Linked DNA regions of Canis lupus familiaris. The protein of the gene in region 4 interacts with the protein of the main gene of each other region in a pairwise test. Links are inferred from orthologs where the notes say so. Each region holds a gene or a part of one and is shown on either strand. Other genes may lie near its edges.

Region 1 (4,308 bases), on a different chromosome or scaffold from region 4:
CACTGCCCATCAGGAGTCCATCAATGGTAAGTAGATTAAGATCTCAATTTTAGGCTCCCCCAGAGTCTCCCCCAAAGTCACAGCAGTCCAGTAACTACTGTATTTTGAACCACTCCATCTTCCTTCCAAATACCACCATGTCCTATCATTCATATTTTTTCATGGCTCTGCTAAAAGTATTAAAAAAGCTGGTGTGCGGGGGAGGCGCCTGGGATGGCTCAATTGGTTAAGTCTCCAACTCTTGGTTTCGGGTTCTGAGATCAAGCCCGGCAACAGGCTCTGCATTCATTGTGGAGTCTGCTTGAGATTCTTTGGGGCCCCTACATGGCTCAGTCAGTTAAGAGTCTGCTTTCAGCTCAAGGTCATGATCCTGGGATCAAGCCCCACATCAGGAGAGCAGGGAGCCTGCCTCTCCCTTTCCCTCTGCCTGCCATTCTGCCTACCTGTGCCCTCTGTGTATAAATACACAAAATCTTTTATAAAGAGTAAATAAATAAGTAAATAAATAAATAAATAAAATAAAATATTTTAAAAAGGAGAGGGGAGGGTATTCTACCCAGAAATTGCTCCTGAATTCTCCCTAATGTATCTCATTACTTCATGTAGTACAACCATAGGTCAAAAGCAAAGGCCCTGGAGAAAGACTAACTTGGGTTCAAATTCAGATTCTATCAGTTGCATGATCTTGAACAAGTTGCATAACCTTTCTGAGTTTCCTCATCTATAAAAAACTGTGAGGATTAAAAGAGATAAAATGTGGCACCCAGTAACAATTCAATAAATGTTAGCTACTGCTAATAAAAGTATTTGAGTATTTTGTTCAAGGACCAGAGCTGGGCCAGAGGGATTATAGAAAATACAATTTGCTACAGCAAATTGTTTGAGAGATAAAACTGTCAAACTCCCTTAGGTCAGAAGCTTTGTCTTTTTCTGGTTCACTGGTGTATTCCCAGAATCCAGAACAGTGTTTAACACACAGTAGGCATCAATCTCAGTATGTGTTGAATGAATCAATGAATGAGATGAATGAGACTCCATTAAGTCAAAGGAGCATAAGAGAGCCTGGCTTTACTTCAAAATAAAGTTTTCATTCCACATCAAGATTTTAAACAATATCCTAAGGCCTCGTTAGAGATGTATTTATTATTTCTAATTGCCTCTTCGAAATCTAGAACACTGTTCGTAATATTAAGGTACTCAAATTTATTGCAATTAAAAAGCTCTGCTGCTAAAATTGAGCTGTCAGTTGTAGGCCACACTACTGTTCATAATTCAAAGCTGATGATCAAAACGTTAAAAGTAATAAAGAAGGTATATGAATTGTTATGGAATACCCTGCTTACCTCTGACTGCTCTCCAGTGAACAGACTTGGAAAACTTGTGTAAAATTTTCTTCTCACAAGTTGACTAAGTTTAATTTATGCCATTATTTATGGCAAAATAAATTGATCTCACCTCCTCTGTATCATTAAATTTTATGAAAACAACATGAGAGTCTGTTCAGTCACTTATGAAAGGCCCAAATCTTTTTTAGACTTAATAAATTTCCAAAGATTGTTAGCTTAATATATCGGCTCTTTAGGTCAAAGAAGGACTTTTCAGGGTGATGAAAATGGAGACAGAAGTTCACCTCTCTAAAAATGAGTTTTCAATTACTATAATTATGCATAAAATAAGACAGGCAGCATTTCTGGGCCAAGATCTGATGCCTTAGTTCCCCGTGAGATTTAGAGCCAAGCATAAAATTTGGGGCAAGTTCTGCAAAAAAAAAAAAAAAAAAAAGAACAACCCACTTTACCCTCTATTGATGCTGAATGAAACACTCATTGTTAGGATTCATCAAAACGAATATGTTTTCTAACACACAGTAAGCCACTCGGGCAACATCGCTTTCAGCATTTTTCTATCCCAGCAACAGAACGGGATGCGTTTAAATCCCGACAGTTACCAGGACTGCAGGGTAGCTAACTCAACCGCCTAATAGTGGTAAGGGCTGAAAAAGTAAAAACCGAGTTTACCGAATCATAAAGTAGCAGGGCCTACTTAGTTAAGATAACCTACGCTGGTGGCTATTGTATAGGTCCTCCAAACCTCCAGAGCTGGAAAGACACCTGAACTACTGACACCTTCTGAGAGAGGAAGCCAGGCGCGAGGGCGGCGCGGTCTGATCGGAATTGTTAAAACCGCAGCCGGCCGGCGGGGACACAGGTGCGCGGGCAGGCCCCGGCACCGCAGTCCTTGTCACGCTCCGAGACGACCCGGCCCTTCACCGCCGCGACAGCCCTCCTGGGTTCTTATTCACTCATTCATTCATTTGACAATTACGCGAGGGGCACCGTAGCAGGGCCGGCTCGCAGGGCCCCCGCCCGCCCCAGCCCCGGAACACCCACAGCCGCCAGGCGCGGCCCTGCACCGCCCGCATTCCCCCGCCGCCGCCGCCGCCGCCGCCGCCGCCACCCCGCCGCGGCGCGCTCGGGTCCCCGGATGCCGGCCTCGGCTGCACGCGAGCGCCCACGCCCCCGCCCTCCCAGCCGCGGGTCCGCCGGCCTCCGCCCCGCTTCGCCGCCTCAGATCCGCCGGGTTCGTGCGGCGAGGGAGGGGCGCGTCCGCGGAGGCTCCCCCGCCCGGGGCTCAACACCCCTCGGCGCGCGCGACGCCCGGACCCGAGGGCCTGGGTGGGTGGGTCGGGCCCACCGGCCACTCACCTCCGCCGGGTCAGAACCGAGGGGCCTGCTCTAAGCCGTTTGAAACCGCTTGGGCCGCCGCACACCCCGCAGTGTCCTCGTCGTTTATTGGTTCCCGACGGACCGCCCATCGCCCGCTTATTGGTCCGTTTGAAAGGCCTGTGGGCACGCGCCGCCCGCAGCTTTAAAGGGGCCGCGCGCAGCCGTGTTTCCTTCGGAACCGGCGCTGCCTGGTGGGGTGGGGATGTGGGGTCGCTAGAGCGAAAGCTGCCGACGACCCTGCACCCCCCTACCCCCCCCTCCCCGAGAGAAGGGCGAAAGCTGTGTGGAGAGCTGTGCATCCCCGGCCATCAGCATGCTTGCTTTTTTTAAATTTTGGCCATTCGAGCTACTGTCAACACCTGGCAATTTTTTAAAAAGTCATTTCATTCACCAAATACCGATTGTGTAGCTAAGTACGCGAGGGGAACGAGAGGCAGCTGGGATATCGTGGAAGGAGCAGTGAATGGAGCCAGGATGCTGGATTCTGGTCTTGGACCCGCTCTAAGCAGACCACTTTCCCAGTAAATTATTTGTAGCTCAGTTTCCTCAAAATAGGATGACAATGTTTCTCTTACAAGCCTAGGGTGAGGATTTAATATAACCAATTGGCTGTCTAGGAAAGGCCTTTGAACAGTAAGTGTTCTGCAAAAGCCTAACTAATATTCCTGTTTCTCTTAGAAATGATAGGCTTGGTTAATGTGATTTCTGAAAGTCTTGTTTAGCTCTAAAAATAAAATCTTTAAGAAAGGGTGGTGGTGCTGGCGCCTGGTAGACTCAGAAGATGGAACTTGCAACTCTTGATCTCAGGGTTGTATGTTCCAGCCCCAGGTTGGGTGTAGAGATTACATAAAAATAAAATCTTAAAAAAAAAAAGAAGTAAAATGTGATAATCTCTAGCCCAATAATGCCACTGTTAAGAACCTGTCCTACAGATCTATGCACGTATGCAAAGAAAAATGTCGAAAGATATTCACTCAGCAATTCTTAAGATATGGGAGAAAAAACACCCCACAAACAAAAAAACCCAAACCCTAGAAATTACAATGTCCATTCATAGAGAACTTGTTACATAAATTACAGTATATCCACTCAATAGAACACTATGTAACTGTTAAAAAGAATCTGTTTATTCTGTACGTGCTGGTGTAGAAAAATGCACAAATTTTATTTAATTGAAAAAAGGCAAGTTGCAGAAAAGCATATATGGAATGATTTTATTGTATATGGTTATAAATGCATATGTATTTTGTGTGCATGCCTGAAAATGGTTAGAACATTGCTGGAATTTCAAGAAATTATTTAGCAAGGAGAGTAGATAGGGAAATGAATTTTTTTGCCTTTGACATGTTAATTTAAATATATATATATATATATATATATATATATATATATATATATATGTAGCAGGGAGAATATCTAGCAGTGGGAAAAGTAAGAGTAAGGGCACAGAAACAAAGTACAATTATATGTAGGGAATTGAACATGTGAGTTTGATTTTTAAAAGGGGTTCATGTTGGGAAGTAGTAGGATACAAAACTGACAGAGAAAGGCAGATTCTAGGAGGGTCTTGAATACTAAGGTA
Region 2 (4,157 bases), about 4.7 Mb from region 4:
CACAGAACACCTAGCAAGGACCCCAGCATGAGCTTCTGAAGAGCTGTGTGCCCTTCAGCTGTCATTTCACTACTTTGTTTTCCCATTCGTGAAATGAGGAACTGCACCATACATCTTTGTAATGTGAAGACTATGTCATAGTCTATGTGAAGTTACAGACACAAGTGGAGGTAGGGTAGAGGAAACAGGAATGAGGAAACTAACCAGGGTTTTTCCCACTTTCAGTCCCTGAAAGGACAACCACTGACACTGATTCAAACTTTGAATGACTTTCCTCATCTAACACACTTGAGAGCAGCAAACTTCCAGTTATTCAAGATCCAATAAAAAGAAAAGCTAAGCTAACTCAGTTTTCTTCTCATATAGCACTTTACTTAAAAAAGGAAATGACAAGCAACAAGCCCAAATCTGCTATTTATTCCAAAACTAAATTTCTAAAGGGTGATAGGATCAGTTGTTTTCCAGGATAACATACATTTGGCCTGACTCTCACATCATCCATAGCCCTGTTCGACAAAATAAAAATTGTGTTTCTCATGATTCTAAGACCTTGGGGGGGGGGGGCAGGTAGATAAAGCCTAAATTATAGCAGTAATGTAATATGGACAGTAAAACTTTAATGGTAAGAATATAATTTAGAGCACCTGTGTGGTTCAGTCAGTTAAACATCCCATTCTTGGTTTGGCTCAAGTCAGGATCTCAGGGTAGTGGGATTGAGTCCTGCCTTTGGCTTGGCACTGACCATGGAGTCTGTCCCTGTCCCCCCTTTCCTCCCCCTACTGCCTCTCTCGCTCTCAAATAAATAAATAAATAATAAATAAATACAATCTTTTAAGAAAATGAATATAGTTTGAATATAGTTTGAATTGTACTTCTTTTAAAATGGCTGGCTATTTTCAGATTTTCATTTATCTTATTCAACTTCACTTAATAGAGTTTATCTGCAAAAGGGCTATTTTTTTTCTAAAGATTTTATTTGTTTATTCATGAGAGACAGAGACAGAGAGAGAGACACGTAGGCAGAGGGAGAAGCAGGCTTCCTGTGGGGAGCCGGATGAGGGACTCATTGGGGATCAGGACCTAAGTCCAAGGCCGACTCAACCACTGAGCCACCCAGGTGCCCCAAAAGGGCTATTTTTGAGGATAAAATGATTTACCAGAGGTGATAGCAATTTGGTAAGTTTTGTACATATGTGCCATTCTTCAGAAATGTGAAACGACTGTACAGATTTATCTAGGAAATTGCACTCATGGGCCAAATCTACGCCTGCATAGGACTTCCACGTGTTTATTCACTTTCTAAAGCTCCAAGTCGTTAGTATTCCGTCCGCAATCCGAAGCCTCTCAGGCGGGGGCCTGGCTGGCTCTGCGGGTAGGGCATGCGCAATCTTGATTTCCCTGTTCTGAGTTCAGGCGGGTGCTCGTGTTTACTTAAACAAACAAACAAAAAACCCTTTTAGGAGGTGAGGAGACTAAGATTAGAGAGAGGTGCCCTTGCTCCTGCGCCCTGCGCCCTGGGAAGGGAACGATACCGTTAAGGAAGCCTATAAACTGGCACCTGCGCGCGCGGCTCTCGGTGCCCCCGCGAACCCGAGGGCCAGAGCGGGCAGGGGCGGGCAGGGCGCCCACCCGACTGGGAGGACCGAGGCTGGGCTGCCGTCCTGCGGGCGGGCCCCGGGGAGCCGGCTGCCCCGCGGTCCCGGAAGGTCTGGGCGGCGGAGTTCCGCGCGGGCGCGGGCGCGGGCGCTCGTCGGCGGGGGCGGGAGCGCGGTGCCGGGCCGCGGAGGAGGCCCGGACCCACGGCAGGCACAGGCCCCGCGGGTGCTCCGGCGCTCCCGGCTCGCCCACCCCCGCCGGCCGCCTGGGCTTGGTGACGCGCCCGCGCCCCTCCCGGTGCCCCAGAAGTGCTCGCCTTCCCCCTGGGGCCGGCGCCTCCCGCGCCCCCACCCGCACGGTCCCGCGTTCTGCCCCCTGGCCCCGCCGCCCCCCGCACCTACCGGGCGGGGCCCGCGCTCCCCAGCAGGTGGCCCCGGGCCACGCGGCGTCCAGCGGGGCCGAGACGGAGGGAAGGCGGCTCAAACCCTCGGCCTCGCTTGTGCAAACAGTGTCCCTGCGCGCCCGCCCGCCCGCGCTGCCCCACCCGCGGCCCGCGTGCCCCAGCGGCTGACTGGGTGCTCGCGGCCCCACCCGGGCCCCTGGACGCGCTCCAGGCCCAGGCGTCGGCGCGGCCTGCTGCCCCAGGGGACCCCCCAGCCCGGGCACCCGGCCCCGAGCTGCCGCGTGTGGGGGCCAGGCCGCCGCCCCCCACCTGCAGCCCGCCGAGGCCGCCGCGCCCTCTCGGCCGCGGGACGCAGTGGTGTCAGCGGCCCGGGCCTGCTCCGCCGCGGGGCTCAAGGGCTCCTGCAAGCCCGGGCCTGCGGAGGCGGGAGGCCTCGGTCACACGGACAGCCCCAGCAGGCCGAGTCAGCTCACCTCCCGGGTCGCCTCCCGACTCCCGGAGCTTACTCTACCCGCCCCGCCCCCGTTTGTTGACATTAAAGTCATTTATCAGACACTCGGGCACTTGTCAGCACAGGCCACAAAGCTTTGTAGGGCAGAATCAAGGAGGCGAAAGGCTGGAAAGATGCAGGCTGCAAACAACAGACACGGAGGGAAAAATGAAAGAACTCTGGAGAAAGGAAAGAAGGTAAAGGAATCTTGTGAATAGCAGCAAGAACAGGTTGGGGTGGTGCCGGAAGGGAGGAGCTGACGGAGTACAGGAAAGTTGGGCAGAAGCGAGTAGAAACGTTGCAGGGCGTTTTCCATTGTGCAGGAGCGTTGGGAATGTGCGCGGAGAAATAGCCTGCTCTGGGGAACCCCACCCTGCGCATGGTGGGGAGGAGTCAAGAACACTGAGCCTTCTCTAGTCCTCTCCACAGCCCACCTGATACATTCAGGGGTCTGATTGGCTTCCTTCAAAAGTGAAACTTTCTTCTTCCTAACTTCTCTAGACCTCAGAAGTTACTCAAAGTTAGAAAGAGCCTTGGGGGCAGAGAGAAGTCCTTGAGAACCTATTTAGGAACCATTCTAGGGATCGCATCAGGGGAGAATTTCTGGTTTACTTTTGGTTCCCACTGCTTATTAAATGAATGGCCTGTGACTGCATTTGGCTGGATTGTCTCTTGCCCCTGGGTAGCGGCTGTGGCCAGCTGAAAATGAATCCTCCCATTTCATGGATCCAGCAGTTGAAGAACTAACAGGTGGTTCATCAGTCAGTAAAATTTTCCTACAACGGACACTGGTTGCAGCGGATGACCTTCCCCGACGCTCAAGTTCATGTGCTGATAAGTCTTTCTTTATAAGAGTACTCCCACTTGGCCACTAACCTGTCTGTACTTCGGTTTTCCCTTCTGGATAATAACAACGCCTACCTCATGAAGTTGTTGTGAAGGTTAAATGAGATGATATATGTAATGTGCTTAGAATAGTTCGTGGACTGGTGAATGTACAAATACATTAGCTTATACTATTTCACATCACATACTGCAGTTTCAAGTTATAACTTCATACTCAGACCTTGGATTTTGCCTTGTGTGGTACCTAGACTCCATGTTAACCTCAGTGATCCATCCCCACCTCCTCAGTATGTCACTTCTGAGATTAGGTTGTAAAAGACGTGAGCACATGCCTGGCTGGGCATCCAGCACTGGTCTTTGAGGCACGACTGTGAGAACACCAGCCTCAAATTTGTAGTGCACTTTCTGGCCCACCAGCAGCCTGGGTGACTGCTAAGTGTTCTCCATGCAAGCAGTGGGCAGAGCCGCTAACCCTGTGAACAAGATGGGAGATGCTGAAGCAGGCAAGAAGATCTTTATTTAAAAATGTGGGGGCACCTGGGTGGCTCAGTCGGTTAAATGTGCGCCTTCCACTCAGTGGTGATCAGGGTTCTGGGATCCAGCCACACATGGAGCTCCCTGCTCAGTGAGGAGTCTGCTTCTCTCTCTCTCTCTGCCTGCCGCTCCCTCTGCTTGTGCTCTCTCTCTCAAATAAATAAATAAAATCTTCTTTTTTTTTTTTTTTTTTAAATGTACTCAGTGCCACACAGTGGAAAAAAGTGGAAAACACAAGACTGGTCCAAATCCCTGGGCCTTTTGAGATGAAAAACAGGACAAGCACTA
Region 3 (3,955 bases), on a different chromosome or scaffold from region 4:
GATTGAGTCTCACAAAGGGCTCCCTGCTCAGTAGGGAGTCTGCTTCTCCCTCTACCCCTCTCCCTGCTCATGTTCTCTCAAATAAATAAACAAAAATCTTTAAAAAAAATTTGAGAGAGCACTTGCAAAAGTGGGGTAGGGGCAAAGAGAGAGACTATCAAGCAGACTCCTTGATGAGCGTGGAGACCCACAGGGGGCTCCATCTCACCACCCATGAGATCATGATCTGAGCTGACACCAAGAGTTGGACACCTAACCAACCGAGCCATTCAAGCACCCCTGAAATTTCATGCAATTTTAATGTATGAGAGAATTCAAAGGTAAGTTAAGACACAGGCCTGGGGCACCTGGGTGGCGCCTCCTTTGAGCACCTGAGTTTTGGCTTAGGTCATGATCTTGGGTTGTGAGATGGAGCCTCAAGTAGGGCTCCATGCTCAGTGCAGAGTCTGCTTGTCCCTCTCCCTCTGTTCCTCCCCTCACATGCTCTCTAATAAATGAAACCTTAAAAAAAAAACACCCCAAAATACGTTGTAGTATATATAAAATAATTTAATAGGATATATATAAAAGACAGCAAATAGAACACATATGAACTTATTTAGCCCTAAGTGAGATCTTGTTATTATCACTATTTTACAGATGAGGAACCAAGGGTCAGAAAGATTTTCTAAAGTCACATAGTAAGAAAGTTTGAGCAAATGCAAATGGTTCATTTTGGCTGTAGAATGGGATACTCCACACTAGTGTGTGTCATATTTGGCACCTTGCATTTCAGATGGAAGAGCCTGAACGCCGTGCCAACAAGTCTACACTTTACTGTTCAGATAGTCATAAATTATTAAAGCAGAGTCCAGTCATTGGCAATACCACCATGGCAGTGATTTTTAGGAAGTGGGATGGAGAATTTGGTTAGGTCTCAGTATCTCCACCCCGGCCTAGTAACATCTGGGGCCAGGTAACTCTGTTGAGTGATGTCCAGCGCGTTGTACAATGTTCAGCAGCATCTCTAGCTTCTACTCACTAGCGGCCTGCCAGTAGAAACAGGCTCCCTACCCCACAGTTAAGAACCACTGAATTAAGCTAAACCAGGAGGAGGGCATAAAAGAGTAGAAAATATCTGTGAAGAAATAAAAGAGAAAAAAAATTGAAGGTCATTTTGGAGGATGGTCTCAAAGTACATGAGATCGAGAGATGAGAGAAATTATTAAAACCAGTTTCATCCTGTGAAATTCTCAAATATCTGTTAAGAAACAAAAGCACCTGTTAAGAAATGAAAAAGGTAATCTAAGATTACAAGTAGAGGATGGTTCTTTTGCTAAAAATAATTAGCATCTCACCAGTTCGTGAAGAACCCAGAGAATACTTCTAAGGTTTTGCCAAGTCGTCAAGGAAAGAGAGTTTTAGACAGAACTCCAAAATAAGTTGTATTTTTCTTAACGTCGGGCTCACGATGAACACTTCAACAGACCCAGCTAAAATACACGGAGTTCTTGCACAAAAAATGGCTTTGATACAAATATGCATTTCAATGTAAAACTATTTTTTTTCTTTAAAAGATTTACTTGAGAGCGAGAACCAGAGAGAGAGAGAGAGTGCGCGTGCGAGCGAGCAGGCGAGCAGTGGGGAGGGGGCAGAGAAGGAGGAGACACACCAAGCCGACTCCACGCTGAGCCCAGAGCCCACCGGGGCTGATCTCACCAGCAGATCAGGATCTGGGCTGAAACCAAGAGTGGGACCCTTAACCGACTGACCACCAAGGCGCCCCTAAATGCACAATTTCCTGGGCAGCCCGGGGGTGGGGGGGGGTGGGGCTCAGCGGTTGTGCGGCTGCCTTTGGCTCAGGTCGTGACCCCAAGGTTCTGGGATCGAGTCCTGCGTCGGGCTCCCTGCATGGAGCCCGCTTCTCCCTCTGCCTGTGTCTCAAATAAATAATAAAAAAAATCTTAAAAAAAAAAAAAAAAAGCACAATTACTAAATACGGCTTTTTCTTGCAGTCTGACTCCTCCACGAGGCTGGCAGGACGTGACCCACGCACAGGGCGGACGGCTGTTTCACAAAGCGACCCCCGGGTCCCGTTCTCCTGTTCTGCGCTACCACGTGCAGAAATCCTGGGACTGCGCGGCGGACACGAGACGGAGGCACTCGGGAGGCCCTGCACACGCTCGGCCCAGCGTCCCCGAGCCCGGGCCCACGCAAGTAGGAACATCCGGTTTTGAGGGGATTTTTACTGGATGCAGGAAAAAAGAAAAAAACTTACTTTTCTTGGATTAAAAAAAAAGAAAAAAATGAACGTTCCCCCACAGCGCTGTTAACAGATCACGTGACATCCAAGTCTTAACTTCTGCACAAGATCAAAAAAAAATTTATTTTTTTTAAATTTTCATCTATTCATGAGAGACCCAGAGAGAGAGAGAGAGACAGAGAGACACAGAGAGAGAGAGAGAGGCGCAGAGACCCGGGCGGAGGGAGGAGCAGGCTCCACGCAGGGAGCCCGACGCGGGCCTCGAACCCGTGACCCCGGGTCACGCCCTGGGCCGCGGGCGGCGCTAACCCCGCTGGGCCCCCGGGCGCCCCGGAGGGAGATTCCGAGAACAGAGCTCAAGGAAACCGCCGCCCCGCCCCGTCCTCGCGCCCCGCGGAGCCGCTCTGCCGCCCCCCGAGCGGGGCCCCGGCGCACGGACGCCGCCACCCGCACGCGGCCCTCCCGCGTACTCACTTTTTCAGCTCGGGAGGGTGAGCCTTGCTCATGGCGCCGACTCGGCGAGCTCGCAGAGGCCTCCACACGGCTCCCTCACGCTCCCGCCGCTTGGCGCCTGACGTCACCGGCCCCCGCCGCCAATCAAACGCCGGCAGAGGTCACATTCCCTCCCGCGATACTTTGAGGGCGCCCCCGGACTTGCCGAACGCCCGCGAGTTTCCGGTTGCGTTGCCAGCGATTGGCCTGCATGGGGCTACATGGGGTGGGACTTCCGGTCGCCTCCTCAATTCCGTTTCCTGATTGGTGAAACTGACGTAAGGGCTGGGTCTCTAAGTCGTCGGCGCAGCTGGCGGATCCCTCGCTTTGCGACCTGCGCGGGTTAGCGTCCTCGCACGTGCCCAGTGCGCACGCGCTCGGGAGGGCTGGGCTCTGGTCCTGCCAAGGTCGATCAGCCTGCGGTGCCCCCGCATCGGGCGCTCTGCTCCTCCCTTCTGCCTGTGTCTCTCGTTAATAAATAAAATCTTAAAAAAAAAAAAAAAAAAAAAAAAGACTTAGGCCTCGGTGATTCTGAGTAGAGGATGATTCTCCAAAATTCAGTTCCTCCCTAATGTCCAGGAATGGCTCTATTTAAATACGAATAAAAGACTGAGCCTCATTCTAGCACTCAAAATCCTACAGGTGGCATTTGCCCAACTTCCCACCTCTCGCTGCTTACAAGCAGCTACGGTCCCGAAATGGATGGTTTAGCCTTCCCACGGTTATTTTTACATTAATGGACTCCGAGTCCCAGGGCCTTAGCTTGTCCTGTTTTCCCCCATTTACAATGAACCAGTCCCGCGTCTGAATCACAGCGAGTTTTTACTCTTCACGACGTCTTCAGACACTTATTTTACACATTACAAAGAGAAGCATCCTAAGAAAGTTGTAGATTCACTGCTCGCATACGAGAGACGCCGTAGTGGAGGAAAAAACTAAACCTTATTTATTTTTTAAAACTGAACCACTAGGAAAATAGATCACAGACTTGAGACACCCAACGCAGGCTATATCATCATTTCAAGTACTAAGTTGGTAAAAAGACAGTAAGGTCTTTATCAAAATGAAAAGGTGCTAGAGCTGGGGCAGGAACACGGCTTGCTGCAAAGGTCCTGGGGCAAGGGTGGCATTTGGTAATGGGGTGGGGGGTTGCCCCTCTTCTGCTTTAAAGGGATCACAGCCCACCCTTGAGTTGCCTACTTTTTCTCCTTTGACCTTCCT
Region 4 (4,031 bases):
TGCTCTGCCCCTTGCCAGTCCCTGTGCGGGAGGAGGGCAGGCTGCCTGAGATGGCCCACAGCCCCCCTGGGCACCCCGTAGCAGGAGATGATCACTAAGTAGGAGGTGGTGGGAGGGCCGCGTGAGAGCGTAGACAGGGAAGCTAAGAATCCTTCTGTGAATCAACTCCACTCCATAAGCGGTCACTTTCAGCCCAGATGCATTTCTTGTTCCGGGTTAGCAGGTGTTGAAAATTATTTTCAAAACTTTCTTCCAACTGGGCACCCCAACATACGAGTCAGTAAAGGTAGAGCTGCTTTGTTGGAAGTGGGAGGAGGAGGCTCCTGGAACACTCATAGGCTCCTGGTTGAACTCCTTCCCAAAAAGACCCTGTGTCCCTTCTGAAAAGCAACAGTGTCTTCAGGCCACAGTTTGAGAACCATTTTTTTTTTTTTAAGAGAAACAAAGATACATACTACATGAGCCCTGCCCTTAGGGAGTTTGGAGTCCAGGGAGCTGGCAACTGCAGTCCTGCACTGGCTGCCAAGGAAACTCCAATGTCCCTCGTGGAGGGTACAGCACTCTTGCTAGCTCCTGCAGAACCTTGAGGCTTTCAGTTGCATGAGATCCTTCTACATTTATACCACACACTACAGGGACTGGGGAGAGCTTGCTTGTATTGTTCATTTCCTTCAATAAAATAGTCTCTTACAACTAATTTACCTCTCACAATACCTCTGTGAGGTGGGGTTATTGCTATCCCATTTTACAGATGAGAAAACTGAGGATGAGGACATATAACTTATCTAGAGCCACCCAGCCAGGCAATGCTGGAACCAAGATTCAAATCCCGCTCTTCCTGGTTTCAGAGCATGGCAGCTGGGACTCAAAACGGAGGCTACCTCAGTGCAGGTCCCATTTCTGCCATGGACTAGTTGTCCCTCTGGCTTCAGCTTCCTCATCTGTCAATAAGGATGATGCCAATGACACCTACTGCCCTTAGAACAGTGCCTGGCACCCAGCCAGCGCTCGGTAAGAGTTGGCTGCTGTCTTGGGATCACCAACTAATAGGTTCTGATAAGTTTGCTCAGTTCACCCTCTCATTTATCTGGCCCGTTAAAGAAGAGCACAATGTACTATGTGTGTGGCTAAGGAGCGCTGTGTGTGGTACAGGGATGTAAAAGCCATAGGAGTTCAAATGAAGGGCATAGAAGTGCTTCATTTATGACTGCTTCATAAATTTTTGAGTATTCCTTGTGCAGAAGCCATGTGGAGTTCTCGATGTCCGTCCATGTCAGCATGTATGGCACCAAGCCTAGCCTTCCAGCCCCGGACTGACGAGCGCGTCCCCAGCAGAGCTAAGGGCCTCCTGGGTGGATGGGAACCTCTGCCACCGTCACCTGTGTCTCAAACTCCATGAATGCACAGCCCTGGTGCTCCAGGGCCCTGGGGGTCTGTGCCACATCCCCATACCTGGAGGGACAGCTGCAGAGTGTGACCACCTTGGGGGTGAAGGGGAGCAGCAGAGCATAGGGTCCTGGTTGCAGCACTTCACTCATTTCTCTGTCAATCTGTCCAGAGTTCAAGGTACAATGAACGCTCCTTGACTTCCAGGGACTCAGACAACACCACAAAATACACACACACACACACACACACACACACACACACACAAAACAGAAATCAAGGAACTCTCAGAGTCCTCCCACGACATTTTCCATACCAGAACCCAAACAAAACATGTGCTTCCAGGAGCCGGAGAGTTCAAGCTCAATTGGGAAGGAGAGGGAGAGAGAAGACATCTGACCTTCTTGCCTGAGAGTCCGCCTACCCGGCCAGCACACGCACCCACCCGGCCAGCACACGCGCCCCCCCACCGGCCAGCACACGCCCCCCCCCACCCCCCCGCCCAGCACACGCGCCCACCCGGCCAGCACACGCACGCAACGGGCAGCACACGTGCGCACCCAGCCAGCACACGCACGCACAAAGCAGCACACGCACGCACCGGGCAGCACATGCGCGCCCCCAGCCAGCACACGCACGCACCGGGCAGCACACGCGCGCACCCAGCCAGCACACGCACGCACCGGGCAGCACACGCGCGCACCCAGCCAGCACACGCACGCACCGGGCAGCACACACACGCACCGGGCAGCACACGCACCCACCCAGCCAGCACACGCACGCACCGGGCAGCACACACACGCACCGGGCAGCACACGCGCGCACCCAGCCAGCACACGCACGCACCGGGCAGCACACGCACGCACCCAGCCAGCACACGCGCGCATCCAGCCAGCACACGCACCCACCCAGCCAGCACACGCGCGCACCCAGCACAGCACCCACGGGCAGAGCCCTCACAGCCCAAGGCTTAAAGGGCAAGCGCCTCCTGGTGCTCAGTGACTGTCCAACGACCGCAAGAACGTCCAGCTCCCTCTGCCCGGTTCCTACCTCTGGGGCCAGGGTCCCCGTGGTCTCTCTCCACCTCTGGCCCCACCTGCTACGGCAGCTCCATCATCCCTCCCGGGGAAGCGGCTCCGTCCCTGCTCCCCGGAGCCCACGCCGCTGCTCAGGGAGGGGTTCCGCGGAAGGAAGGCGAGGGCGGGCCCTGAGGTCACTGGCCTGGGAAGGGGATGGTCTCCCAACCAAGCACTCGGTCAGAGGGAAAAGGATGTTTTGTCATTTTTGGCTTGAACTTCCAGAGGCAGAACAGGAAATGTCCACGGGGGCTGGGAGCTCGGGGAGACGGGCCCGCGTCTCCCTCCAGCGCCGGCCTTCCGTGGGCTCTCCCCGCCGCGCCCCGTCGGCAGCTTCAAGCTCCGTCTGGACTCTGGTTTCCGCTGATGCTTTCCTTTAGCACATTTTTTAAAAAAATATTTTTTTGTTCTTAATGGAACGTCAGCTTCGTTCCTGACATGCTGGAAAATTTTTCCTCTGCCTCAACTTGGCTCAGGAACAACTTCTCCTTGTGAGAAAATTTCTCCTGTTACAACGTTCAGCTTTTTTTTTCCTTCTTCTTTTTTTTTTTTTTTTAAGAAAAAAGGACGCCTGGATGGCTCAGTGGTTGAGCCTCTGCCTTTGGCTCAGGGTGGATCCCAGGGTCCTGGGATCAAGTCCCACATCTGGCTCCCTGCAAGGATCCTGCTTCTCCCTCTGCCTGTGTCTCTACCTCTCTCTGTGTCCCTCATGAATAAATTAATAAAATCTTTTTTTTAAAAGCTATTTATTTTGCCAAGCTTTGTTCTAGGGACATTTTTGATAGATTTTTTTTTTTTCCATCTGAACCTCTGGATTTCAAGAACTATACACACCCATATTTCTCTTGACTGTTTTCCCCCTCTCTTCTAATGGAAAAACAACAACAGTAATAACTGGTAAAAGATTACAGTGAAACTGTCCTTAAACTCTGGTCTAGGTCAGCCTTGTCCCTGCTCACATCTCCACTCACAGTGCAGGGTGCAAGGAGTGTGGTAAAGAGCGGGAAGGCTGGTCTTCAAAGCCCTCACTTAGTTCTAGGTCTTTCTATGATGGTGACACAGGCACGGCTACCTTTCCCAAGAGAGTCTGGTTGCACATAACAAACCGTGTCCTCAGCCCCTCAGGGATGGGGCTGCAAGTGTGCTGGTTGTGATTCTTGGAGGCCGTGGGTGGGGGTGCATTGGGGTGAGAAGCCATTGTAAGATTCAGCTGTTGGTAATCACCCAGAGGGTGGCACATCTGTGAATTGTCAAATGCCACCACAAATTGGGAACCTTTAGAGTCTTGTTGACTCTTGCAATAAAACTCAGTAGTTCTCACAGTGCTAATTGGGGATTTGCTCACAAACAGGAAATGAGGACATCCCCTCTGCTCTGTTTATTAAAAGAAGGGGAGTAATAAACAAATTAATAGTGTAAGCAAGATAAGAATAATTTGGGGGGAGCCAGTTCATGAGGTTAGAAAATTTCAAATGTTCTAGAACTCTCCTTCATTTATAAAAATAATACATAGGCTGAGGGTAGCAATTTTTAGATTTTTGAGTTGATGTATTAATCACATATTGTTAT

What was found.
Region 1: the proteins of TACC1 (region 4) and CKAP5 interact in binary tests that used the Homo sapiens proteins (3 or more experiments, as listed by UniProt). The link is inferred for Canis lupus familiaris from reciprocal best matches to the Homo sapiens genes TACC1 and CKAP5.
Region 2: the proteins of TACC1 (region 4) and SH2D4A interact in binary tests that used the Homo sapiens proteins (3 or more experiments, as listed by UniProt). The two-hybrid records come from large-scale screens. The link is inferred for Canis lupus familiaris from reciprocal best matches to the Homo sapiens genes TACC1 and SH2D4A.
Region 3: the proteins of TACC1 (region 4) and SNRPG interact in binary tests that used the Homo sapiens proteins (3 or more experiments, as listed by UniProt). The link is inferred for Canis lupus familiaris from reciprocal best matches to the Homo sapiens genes TACC1 and SNRPG.

Annotation. Positions count from the first base shown.
Region 1 is NC_049239.1:43,098,496-43,102,803, reverse strand, and holds the start of CKAP5 (cytoskeleton-associated protein 5), read right to left. Parts: upstream 2,801-4,308; 5' UTR 2,706-2,800; intron 1-2,705. UniProt on the Homo sapiens protein: Binds to the plus end of microtubules and regulates microtubule dynamics and microtubule organization. Acts as a processive microtubule polymerase. Promotes cytoplasmic microtubule nucleation and elongation. Plays a major role in organizing spindle poles.
Region 2 is NC_049237.1:22,874,068-22,878,224, reverse strand, and holds the start of SH2D4A (SH2 domain-containing protein 4A), read right to left. Parts: upstream 2,801-4,157; 5' UTR 2,473-2,800; intron 2,463-2,472; exon of another isoform or gene 2,309-2,462; intron 2,168-2,308; coding exon of another isoform or gene 1,461-2,167; intron 1-1,460. Other genes in the region: collagen alpha-2(I) chain-like, read left to right, coding at 1,461-2,167. UniProt on the Homo sapiens protein: Inhibits estrogen-induced cell proliferation by competing with PLCG for binding to ESR1, blocking the effect of estrogen on PLCG and repressing estrogen-induced proliferation. May play a role in T-cell development and function.
Region 3 is NC_049231.1:70,135,045-70,138,999, forward strand, and holds the start of SNRPG (small nuclear ribonucleoprotein G), read right to left. Parts: upstream 2,801-3,955; 5' UTR 2,749-2,800; coding exon 2,717-2,748; intron 1-2,716. UniProt on the Homo sapiens protein: Plays a role in pre-mRNA splicing as a core component of the spliceosomal U1, U2, U4 and U5 small nuclear ribonucleoproteins (snRNPs), the building blocks of the spliceosome.
Region 4 is NC_049237.1:27,534,270-27,538,300, forward strand, and holds the start of TACC1 (transforming acidic coiled-coil-containing protein 1), read right to left. Parts: upstream 2,805-4,031; 5' UTR 2,437-2,804; intron 1-2,436. UniProt on the Homo sapiens protein: Involved in transcription regulation induced by nuclear receptors, including in T3 thyroid hormone and all-trans retinoic acid pathways. Might promote the nuclear localization of the receptors.